Linked DNA regions of Callithrix jacchus. The protein of the gene in region 1 purifies or fractionates together with the protein of each later gene. This does not show direct contact. Links are inferred from orthologs where the notes say so. Each region holds a gene or a part of one and is shown in the gene's direction. Other genes may lie near its edges.

What was found.
Region 2: the proteins of SLC9A6 (region 1) and MBLAC2 purify together in Homo sapiens (co-immunoprecipitation; 3 studies listed by BioGRID and IntAct, counting the BioPlex papers as one, with this or other methods). This does not show direct contact. The link is inferred for Callithrix jacchus from reciprocal best matches to the Homo sapiens genes SLC9A6 and MBLAC2.
Region 3: the proteins of SLC9A6 (region 1) and CLGN purify together in Homo sapiens (co-immunoprecipitation; 3 studies listed by BioGRID and IntAct, with this or other methods). This does not show direct contact. The link is inferred for Callithrix jacchus from reciprocal best matches to the Homo sapiens genes SLC9A6 and CLGN.

The regions. Positions count from the first base shown.
Region 1 is NC_133524.1:132,789,183-132,792,834, forward strand, and holds part of SLC9A6 (sodium/hydrogen exchanger 6), read left to right. Parts: intron 1-3,164; coding exon 3,165-3,364; intron 3,365-3,652. UniProt on the Homo sapiens protein: Endosomal Na(+), K(+)/H(+) antiporter. Mediates the electroneutral exchange of endosomal luminal H(+) for a cytosolic Na(+) or K(+).
Region 2 is NC_133503.1:120,289,760-120,293,881, forward strand, and holds the start of MBLAC2 (acyl-coenzyme A thioesterase MBLAC2), read left to right. Parts: upstream 1-1,311; 5' UTR 1,312-1,797; coding exon 1,798-2,251; intron 2,252-4,122. UniProt on the Homo sapiens protein: Acyl-CoA thioesterases are a group of enzymes that catalyze the hydrolysis of acyl-CoAs to the free fatty acid and coenzyme A (CoASH), providing the potential to regulate intracellular levels of acyl-CoAs, free fatty acids and CoASH.
Region 3 is NC_133504.1:56,554,402-56,558,053, forward strand, and holds part of CLGN (calmegin), read left to right. Parts: intron 1-737; coding exon 738-953; intron 954-2,076; coding exon 2,077-2,202; intron 2,203-2,413; coding exon 2,414-2,573; intron 2,574-3,652. UniProt on the Homo sapiens protein: Functions during spermatogenesis as a chaperone for a range of client proteins that are important for sperm adhesion onto the egg zona pellucida and for subsequent penetration of the zona pellucida.

The DNA.
Region 1 (3,652 bases):
GTTGGCTATTAATAGGTCAAACCCAAGACCTATATCATAGTTTTCTTCCCATTTTGTTTGCTCCCCTGGTGATCTCATCTACGTTTGACTTCAACCATCTTATGACTGCACAGTGTGTATCTCCAGTTGAGACCTTCTGCTCTAGCTCCAGATACCACATACTCAACTATGCATGTGTCACAAGTACATCCAACTCAACGTGTCCAAAACAACATAGCCTTTTTCCCTGTAAATCTGTTCATCTGTCTGTGTTCCTTACCTCATTGAACAGCCTTGCTATCCCCTGGGTGCTCAGGCCAACTTACTTACCTGGTTACCAAATCAACTAAGGCTTCTCTTAGTCTTTCACCTCCCTTCCTCATAGTCTGTTCTACTCAGTCACTAAATCTTACTAAAATATAATACCTTCTAAAAATCCTTCTCCTCCCTTCTCAGTTCTCTCTTAGGTTTAAGACCCAAACTCTTATGGCCTGAATGCCTGCAATAGCCCTGTATCTAGCCTTTTAGACTCTCTCTAGTCTAGGCCAGTCTTTCTAAAGTAGAAATCTGATACGAAGCCTCTGCCTTCTATGATTTCATTTTACTTTTCGGATAAACTAAAAGCTCCCTTCCCCAACAGATAAGATCTTTTATGATTCAACTCCTGCCAATCTTTCAAACCTCAACTCTTGTTACTTTATAAGCCAGCCATACTGAACTACTTGATTCCCTGGATGGGCTGTGTTCTCTCCATCTGTGACTGGATATGTGGTACTTACTATTCCCCTACTTGGAATAGACCCATTTCTTCTAGTTGGTTACCTGCCCAGGTGATGTCTCCAGAACGACTTCCCTAATATCTTACTCCCCCAGGCTTGGGTAGGTGTCTCTTTTGTTTTTATAATACCTTGTATACGTATATATTGCATTATGATTGCTTATTCAGTCTGTTTTCACTAACTGGACCGAGTTTTCCTTGAAGGAGGGACGTTGTTTTCATCTCTGAACCCTGGAGGCCTATCTAGCATAGTTCACTCATTTACATATGAAAAAAATGGCTGGCTAGTCAGAAAGAAAGGCAATAGAAAGGCGAAATGTAGCTAGTTGTGGTATACTATGCATCTTGGAGTTGAGGAAAGTTCTAGAAGTTTGGGTTATATTTGTAGTTGAGGTATGTTCATGCAATGAAATATTGTTTGGCCATAAAAATAAAGGAGGTTCTAATCCATGCTACAACATAGATAAACCTTGAAAACGTTATGCTAAGTGAAAGAAATCAGACACAGCAGGCCATATATTATAGGAGTTTATTTATATGAAATGTCTAGAAAAGGCAGGTCCATAAATAAAGAAAGTAGATGAGTGGTTGCCAGGGACTGGGGATTGGGGTTGAGGGGGAATGGAGAGTGACTGCTAATAGGTGTGGGGTTTCTTTTTGGAGAGATGAAAATGTTCTAGAATTAGAATTAGATATATCCAACTCCATGAATATACTAAAGACCACTGAATTGTACAGTTTAAAATGATAAACTTTTGGTGTTTGAATTAGATATCAGTAAAGCCATTATTAAACAATTACAGTTGATCAATGTAGTATTTTTTTTTTTTTGAGATGGAGTTTTACTCTTGTCACCCAGGCTGAAGTGCAAGGGTGCACTCTCGGCTCACTGCAACCTCCACCTCCCAGTTTAAGCGATTCCCCATCAGCCTCCAGAGTAGCTGGGATTGTAGGTGCCCGCCACCACACTTGGCTAATTTTTGTATTTTTAGTAGAGACGGGGTTTTGCCATGTTGGCCAGGCTGGTCTCGAACACCTGACCTCTGGTCATCCACCCACTTCGGGCTCCCAAAGTGCTGGGATTACAGGCATGAGCCACCATGCCTGGCCCGATCAATGTAGTTTTATAGGGCCAGGCGTGGTAGCTCATGCCGAGGTGGATGGATTGCAAGGTCAGGTGTTCGAGACCAGTCTGGCCAACATGGCAAAACCCCGTCTCTACTAAAAATACAAAAATTAGCCATGCATAGTGGTGGTACATGTCTGTAATTCCAGCTACTTGCGAGGCTGAGCCACGAGAATTGATTGAACCCGGGAGGCAGAGGTTGCAGTGAGCCGAGATCACGCCACTGCACTCCAGCCTCGGTAACAGAGCAAGACTTCATTGTGAAAAAAAAAAAATTAGTTTTATGGCATCTAGTACATTGTGCATATTTGAATGTCAATAGGATGATCCAAGTAAAATCTTAGCAATCTGTTGATGTCATAGTGCCAGATTCAGGACTTCTAATCCACGTTTTGATTTTAAAGCAGGTATTTTAAAATTAAAATCTCACTTCTAGAATTAGAATAACCCAATCAACCTACAAACATTATTGGCTTTTCAATTTGTTAACTATGTGTTATTTGGCCAGCCATGTGCTTTGAGAATAAACCTGGAAGTGCATTAAGTCTTGTAAATTGATGGATGGATGTGAAAAACACGTTTCTTTTCTTTTCTTTCTTTCTTTTTTTTCTTTTTGAGACAGAGTTTCCTTTGTTGCCCAGACTGGAATGAAGTGGCATGGTCTCGGCCCACTGCAACCTCTGCCTACCAGGTTCAAGCAATTCTCTCACCTCAGCCTCTTGAGTAGCTGGGATTACAGGCGCCTGCCACCACACTTGGCTGATTTTTTGTATTTTAGTAGAGACGGAGTTTCGCCATGTTGCTCAGGCTAGTCTCGAACTCCTGAGCTCTCAGGCAGTCTGCCTGTCTTGGCCTCCCAAAGTGGTAAGATTACAGATGTGAACCACTGCTCCCGGCCAGAAAACAGATTTCTGACATGATTGCACTGCTGAGTCGGGACACCTTGGAGCATATTCTGTCTACAGATGATTTGAAGATATTTTCTCCTTTTGTTACCTCCCTCATTACTTCTTTAAATATTGATCTAGAAATGCAGGGATCTGTGCTGTTGCCTAGGGAATATTTTTCTCTCCTGTTTCACTGGATTATATGAAGATTGGGCTGTTGGTTGTATGAATTTAGTAATACTTTAAAATATAACTGCATTTCATCTGAAAACCAGTTCTGAGCTACAGGGAACTACCTACCGTAAGAGATTTTCTCTTACCTGTAGTTATGCATGGGATACAAAAGAAATGATCTCTGTTGGCAAGAAGAGCTTACATTGTTCTTTTTTTCCAGGTCTTTTGGTGGGCCTTGTGCTTCGGTATGGCATTCACGTTCCAAGTGATGTGAATAATGTGACCCTGAGCTGTGAAGTGCAGTCAAGTCCAACTACCTTACTGGTAAATGTTAGTGGAAAATTTTATGAGTATACGCTGAAAGGAGAGATTAGTTCACATGAACTCAATAATGTTCAAGATAATGAAATGCTTAGAAAGGTAAGTTCTTAAAGGAAATCTTTGAATTATTTTTGTGTGTCTAACAGCAGAATGATTCAGGAGAAAATAAGTAATGAATTTTAAATGCTATTTAAAATAATGAGTCTTTTTAAATGAGGTAAAACCTCAATTAACAAACGTAATATGTAAGGAAAGGGGGATGCTGTGTGACTCATTTTCTGATTGAGGCTAAGTAGTATGACTCTTTTTGTTTTACTCTGGGTTGTTGACAGCTTGTGATAAACAGAGACTGGGATTGAGTTAAGCAGAATCTATAAGCGTTTCTTT
Region 2 (4,122 bases), on another chromosome or scaffold:
GTTTTCATAATCCTTTTCTCTAATGCTGTCTCATGAGTCTCTTTACCATATTTCCGAAGTAGGGAGGTTAGTCAAGTTCTCAAGGGAATTTCTGAAGCTTAAATAGATGCTTCAGGCCAGTGTAGTGGCTCACGCCTGTAATCCCAGCACTTTGGGAGGCCGAGGCGGGCGGATCGCTTGAGGTCAGGAGTTCAAGACCGGCCTGGCAAACAGAGTGAAACCCATTCCTACTAAAAATACAAGATTAGCCGGATGCAGTGGCAGGCGCGTGTAATCTCAGCTACTTGGCAGGCGGAGGCAAGAGAATCGCTTGAACCCAGGAGACGGAGGTTCCACTGAACTCCAGCCTGGGCGACAGAGTGAGACTGTCTCACCAAAAAAACAAAAAAAACCCAAAACCTAAATAGCTGCTTCAATAGCTGGGAAGTGTGGGGAATGGATGCAGTGACCTGATGTTAACAGTGCGGGTGATTTACGTGGCTGGCGGGGCCACACCCAGTCATTATTCACTTTTCCCGTCCTCACCAGGTTCTCCCTCTTTCCTTGGTTGAACTTCACTACCAACTTTCTTTACCCTCCTCCAAGGGCAGACTAACCAAAAAAAGAAAAAAAAAAGAGAGTGGATATAGAATTTTATTTTTTAGAAGAAAAGACAAACCATATTAACAGCTCCCATCCCTACGATATAAAAGTGCCAACAGTTACGAAAATAGATGCTGAATAGTCGGTCCTCAGCTTCAATCTGCGGCAATGACTAGTGCCTAAACAAATCATCAAGTCACCGGATTCTGAAAATCACCTACTGTAAGTAAGAGACTACCCTTCTAACTCACTGTAAACAGTCCCAGAAGCGGAGACTAAGTAAAATCTGGAAATTCGACTTAAAAAAGATTCTGAAGGGAGCAGCACCAGGGGAGGTACCAAGCCATCTCCAAACGCCCCTCAACCCAGAGGCGCTTTAATAATCTCTAACCCCGACTTCCCCCTACCTTCTCCACGTGTCCCTTTAACTTTCCTCTATCCTCACCACCCCTCCCAAGTCTTCGATTGCTTCCTCGGTTACCTGCTCCCTAAGTCTCGAAGCGTGGGCAAAACTCTGCAGTCGAAGTGCCGGCCGGCAAGGAAGGGGTGCTGGCAGAGGACGCCGGCGTTCCAGCGCCGCGGGTTCCACCTCGGGAGAAGCGCGCACCGCCCTCCCGGCGGTCCCAGAACTGCAGGGTGAGCTCTACCAACTAGCCCCGCCCACTCCCTAGGCAGGCCCCATCCCCTCGGCACAGAGCTTTTTTGGCCTTGGCAGTCGCCGTAGTCACCGGACAACCCGTTAGGCCCCTCACTTTCCGCGCCAGCTGGGAGTGCGCACCGCGGAAAGCTGGTGGGTGGGCGGTCCTAGCGCTTCCCCTGCTCGCTCCGGGTCTCTGCTGCCACACTCCTGGGGTGGGGAAATAGTCGCCTCCTGAGTCTCCATTCTGCTGCAGTGGCCCCTGCGTTAAATCTCCCTCGAGCTGCAGCTGTACAGGCTGCGGTAGCTCCTGTGCCTCGGTGCAGGTGGCGCAGCCTTTACTGGCTGCCGACCTGGCGGGAGGGTGCGGGAGCGCACGCTCCAGGTAGCGTGGGTCTGCGTCCTTCCTTCCTCCTCCTATTCCTACCCCCGCATTCCCCGCCCCCGCCTCGCTCTGCGCCTCCTCTCTGGCTGCAGCAGAACGCTCCACACAGCCGCAGCGCCTGGTGTCTGGACAGCCAGCCTGTGGGAGGCACGCACGCCCACACTCATCCTGCCTGGCTGCACCCCTGCCCAGCATGTCGGCTCTCGAGTGGTACGCCCACAAGTCTCTAGGCGATGGTATCTTCTGGATTCAAGAACGCTTCTATGAGTCAGGCAACCGCGCCAACATCTGGCTGGTGCGCGGCTCCGAGCAGGACGTGGTGATTGATACAGGCCTGGGGCTGCGCAGCCTCCCGGAGTACCTGTACTCCTCCGGCCTCTTGCAGGACCGCGGGGCCAAAGAGGATGCGGCGCACCGGCCGCTGCTTGCCGTGGCCACCCACGTGCACTTCGACCACTCCGGCGGCCTCTACCAGTTCGACCGGGTGGCCGTGCACCACGCCGAGGCTGAGGCTCTGGCTCGCGGGGACAACTTTGAGACTGTGACCTGGCTCTCCGATAGCGAGGTGGTGCGGGCGCCCAGCCCCGGCTGGAGGGCCAGACAGTTCCGGGTACAGGCGGTGCAGCCCAGCCTCATCCTGCAGGATGGTAATGGGCCCCCTCGGGCGCGCGCTCTCGTTAAGGGAGGGTGTTGGGAAGAGACTGTCCGAGTGCCGCATGTTGGAGACCTGCGTGGCGATAAGGGGATTTATTTTGGCACCTCCTAGAACCACTTGTTTCCCCGTTCCCTGAGTTAAAAACCCACTTGACCAGCGCCAAGGCCTTCACAGACTTCCCTGCCAGAGATCAGCTCTGGCACCCTGTAGCGATTCTGAGTACTCCTTTGAAAGCACGCACCACCCCCTCCCTAGCCAGTTTCCTGCGTCGGCAACGGTAGTAACACTGCAGAGACTTGTGACTGACTAGGGATTTCCCATTCTTTCCCTAAGCACCTGTCCGACATTTCCAGGCGCTTACATAGTGAGTAGACTTTTAAGAATGATGCCTCACGGATAGTGCGTGTCATGATCTGTGCCTTTGAGAACTGCAGATTTCATCAGCTTGGTCACCACCGGGCATGGGCAGTGTCCACCTGTAGCCTTAGAAAGTCATCAGACCAGTGATTCCAATCCGCTAATGGATTGGAAACCTTTCAGGTAGATTTGTATTCTTGATGTTGCCTCACGAGAGAAAATGCTTGTTAGTAATCATAAACGTGGAATATGTCTGTCTTGCTTTATGACAGATATCTGGTCTGATTGAAAGCAAAGCCTGAGAAAGGAGGTAATTTTCGGTGGAGGTAAATTACGTGGACTAATGCATAGGTCCTGTTTGGCTCTGTGAAATACAGGTATGGAATTAGAGAAATTCATGGAGTGGAAATAAATAGATTAGAGCCTCAGCGCATTCTCCCTACGCAGGCACTTAAATAATTGAGCTAATTTGCCATAACAGCAGTATTTGGTATATTAATTTTCTATTTTCTTTTTAGAATACTTTTGATTTCATTTTATCCTCATAACACATTTAAAGTGAGGCCAGTGACTCCCCAGTTAAATGGCTTGCCTGAGCCAGATCATGATAAAAGCTTGGATATGAATCCAGGCACAATAGATCAAAGCATGCAGAACATACATAAATCCGACCTCATAAATATATGATGACAATTCTGTGTAGAATGCGAAAGGCCCCTTTCCTTTAGCCTGAGGCCATTTTAATCGCTAATTTGGTTTATTAAAACGTGCCTCTCTGTAAGGTAGAAAAATCCAGTTGCTACAGTATAATGAGCCTCACTTTATGACCAAACAGTATGGCAAATAATGAAATGTTTTACAAAAATCAGTTTATTTCACATATGAGATCTTACTCATTTGAGATATTTTTTAAATTCCAATATATTTTAAAATTATATTGCACTATTTATCAGTGCTAAAAAAAATTGCAAGATTCTGTACCTCACCCCCACCCAACAAAAGTCTTCATTAAAGTTTTAAATCTAAATTTTAAAAAAAGCTGGTTTAGATGGGAGTCTTACATTATCTGACAATATGAGATGAAAGTACATGCATATTAAATTTTAATTTACATTGAAATTATACTTAATTACTGTATTTCTTGATAAAAATGGCTACTTTTAGAGGTAAGATTGCCATGCCATTGATGGGTATCCAGACAAAATTCTGATACCCAGACCAAAAATGTTTACATTAGTATTAAAGTATATTTAAATTGTTTAAAAGAATAAATTACTTTTGATATTTACTTTTGATTCTGTGTCAGCAATGGGAAATAAAAGGTTAAAGAATCATGGGGATTGGTTTATAGATGAGGAAAATCCATGCAGGCCTGAGTATCATGTGTCAGGTCACATAGCCCATCTGGGAAAGAGCTGGGACTAGAACCCCCAGCTGATGGCAGAATTCTAACATTTTTGGAGCTGGAAAGGGCCTGCAAACCACTTGTGTGGTGCTTTAAGCCTT
Region 3 (3,652 bases), on another chromosome or scaffold:
TCTAACATTATATATATGCAGTTTCATATTCTAAGTACTCACTGTAGCTTTTATTAAAAGCATTTAACACAAAATGTTTCTTTTGGTTAATTTTTTTGTTTAACGTCTGTCTCTTTCATTAGACTTCAAACTCCATAATACAGGAACCATGTATGTCTCCATCATCTAGCATAGTGCCTGGCCCAGAATACATACATGTGATGGTAGAGTGAGTCAGTGAGCAATGATATTTTCACATGTATTTGATTTAATTGACAGTTTAATCAATTAGGATCTAATGGAAGTTTTATGTTGAGTAGTTGTGCTGAGATTCATCCATACCTGATTAATGATACCTGTCATAGGTATATGTTAAATGGAATGACCCCATTTTTGCTATACAGTGATCTTTCTGATTTGGACAAATTGAACAACTTGCATTCAATAACTTTACTAAATCTAAAAAAATATCTAAAATAAATAAATTGTGAAATTTACTTATATTTCTGTGTCTGTTGGATTTTCCCTTTTCCTTTTTTGTAGTATTTAAAGTCAGTATCACTCATAGAGACCATTGTTTACAGAGCAAAAAGAAACAAGATTTTATTTCCAGTATATTACTTGTGAATTAATATCAGTTAAAGTTTTCTTTTTCCCAGTTAGCATTGCTAATTTTATTCAACAGCAGATACTTATTAAGCAGCATTTATAATGAAGTTATTTTATTTGAAAATCTCCTCAATTACTTTTTCTTCCAGGGAGTCTGGAGTCCTCGAAAAATTCCTAATCCAGATTATTTTGAAGATGATCATCCATTTCTTCTGACTTCCTTCAGTGCTCTTGGTTTAGAGCTTTGGTCCATGACCTCTGATATCTACTTTGATAATTTTATTATCTGTTCAGAAAAGGAAGTAGCAGATCACTGGGCTGCAGATGGTTGGAGATGGAAAATAATGATAGCAAATGCTAATGAGGTATGGTATTGACCAATTGCAGTAGTGATATAACTATAAATAATAATAATAAGACTTGGTCTTGGTTATAGGTTATTCAGATGTCTCTTTTAAAGGGAAATAAATGTGCAATAATTATTAAATGCTAAGGAAATATGTTTGAATAAGTTTATGTAGACAGAATATTTTGCCTTTTATGTTGCTTCGTTACAAACTACATAACTATATATGCATATGTAAGTCCTCATTTTATTCATTAAATTATAATAGCTCTAATGGGATTTAAGGCTTAATTACTGTTTATAGAGGAAGACTACTCAATATCTTTGTTATCTTGCCAATTCAAGGCCTAACAATAATCTAAATATTACTGCTTATGCATTTCAACTATTTTTTACTTAGAGAAATGTACAAAGAATTTATAGTTTAACATTATTAAATTCTGTTCCAGTTTTTCCCCCATATCTAACACTGTTTAGAAAAGGTTAAGCTAAATATTTCAACACAATGCATCTTAGAAATGTATCTTTAAATTCAGTTGCTATAAAGAAAAATTCATATATTACATTTAGTTGCTTTGGTCATTAGCAAAAAACCATCAAAAGAATAGGTAAAGAGGGATTCTCATTTTGAACCTCTTGTAACTAAAACATTTAATGGTTTTTAATTTTATTTTAATAAGAGAAATAATATCCTTATTGAGGGTCTTGTGTAGGAAATGTGTTTATATAAAAAAAAAACAATTCTGAGGTATGATTTTTAGTAAATTCCTTAAAAGTACAGAATGAATGATCAGAGTACAGAATGAATGATCACTTCAAATGAACCAGGTGATACATCCATAAAAGATAGTTCTATTCTGAAATTTACCAAAAAGGAAAATTACCATATTTCTTGCCAGTGTGTTAGAAGTTTCCATTTTTGTCATAACATACTTTCTGCTACAAAGTCTCACTCCTTGATACATGCTAATAATTAAATTAAACTTTACAAAGTATAAGGTGGGAAAATGAAACTTCCTTTACTTACAAGTTCATCACTCCTTAATGTAAAATGCCCGAGTAAATAAGTTCTTTGTATCTTGTGTTACCCAGTAAAGGTCTGTAAAATTTGAATTGTATTTTTATGCTTATCTCATCTACAGCCTGGTGTATTAAAACAGTTAATGGCAGCTACTGAAGGGCACCCATGGCTTTGGTTGATTTATCTCGTGACAGGAGGAGTGCCAATAGCATTAATTACTTCATTTTGTTGGCCAAGAAAAGTAAAGGTAAAGAAAATAGATTTCCTTCAACTTCTTTTCCCCAAATTTTTTATTGTTCAAGAGTTCTATATATATTGAGCAAGTGATTCTTAAAAGTAATAAATTAAATGTTTTGTAAGTTTTACTGATAGTTCATTATGTTGTCAATTATTGAAAAAAAGTTTTTCAAAATAATGCTCTGCCTTTAGTAAAAATAACTTATGTTAAACTACCACAGAAGAAATATAAAGATACAGAGTATAAAAAACCCGACATATGTATACCACAAACAAAGGGAGTACTAGAGCAAGAAGTAAAGGAAGAGAAAGCAGCCCTGGAAAAACCAATAGACCTGGAAGAGGAAAGAAAGCAAAGTGATGGTGAAATGCTTGAAAAAGGTAAGACAATGATAATGATTCGTAATGGAGACCCTGGTTAAAGCTCATAAAAACAGTACATTACCTTGAAATAACTAGCTGTCGTACTTGTTTATTATCAAGTTTATACATCTGACTCTCCCAAGAATGTGTGACTATGGCAAAGAGAAGTAATAGTCTTCTGAGCAGCCACCCTGTTTATAGTTTTTGTGTTTTAGGAAGAAGGAGATTTAAATAGTGTTCAGTTGTTTCAGAGCCTAGCAGTTACGAATCCCATAGGCCATAACTTTTTGCAAGGATGTTTCTTGCCTCTGGGAGTGTAGAAGATGAGAAGGAGAATGATGGAGGGTATATATCATAGCCTCTATAGAAAAGGAATAGATAGAAAGCAGATGATTGCAGCAACAAAATCAACACCAAGTCTTCCAATGGCTATTGCTAATCAGATGCTTATCATGTAGAAAAATAATTTAATTAATTTTCTAAAAGGATTACTGAACCTATATCCCCCTCCCACACAATATTATATTGTTGAAGGTGTTAGAACTGAAGTCACCCTTTGGTGGCTCTCCATTGAGACCTCCCTACATGAGGCAGAAATAAAACTTGATTTTCCCAGTGTCACAAGCCAAATATCCTGAAGCACTATTTTTCACTCACTTGATGAAGTGATATTGATGTCAAAATAAGGATCAACCTTATTTTGAGGGCATTTGAGTATCAGAAGGGCCTGCTTGTATAAAGGTACTTTCACCTATACACGTAGTCCCACACTGTGGATGGAGAACTACATGGAAGAAGTAGAGTGGATTTTTCATCTTTTCTTTTCCCCAGAGCCCATTCTTGGTGGGGTAGGGGTTTTTCTTTATATGGCTCCTAGAACATTCTTAATATCTTTTGGTAATGATAATAACAAAAGTTAGAGGTTCTGCTAAATGGAATCCTAAGGAGGGTCAATAACTGAAAAAATGCATGATAATGTCCACAGAGAACAAACATAAATAAATAGCATATTAACAAATAAAAGATCACCAAAAAGTAAAGGAAGTATTTCCCAAGACAAGAACACAGGAAAGATTGTTTTTGGTTTCCACATTACA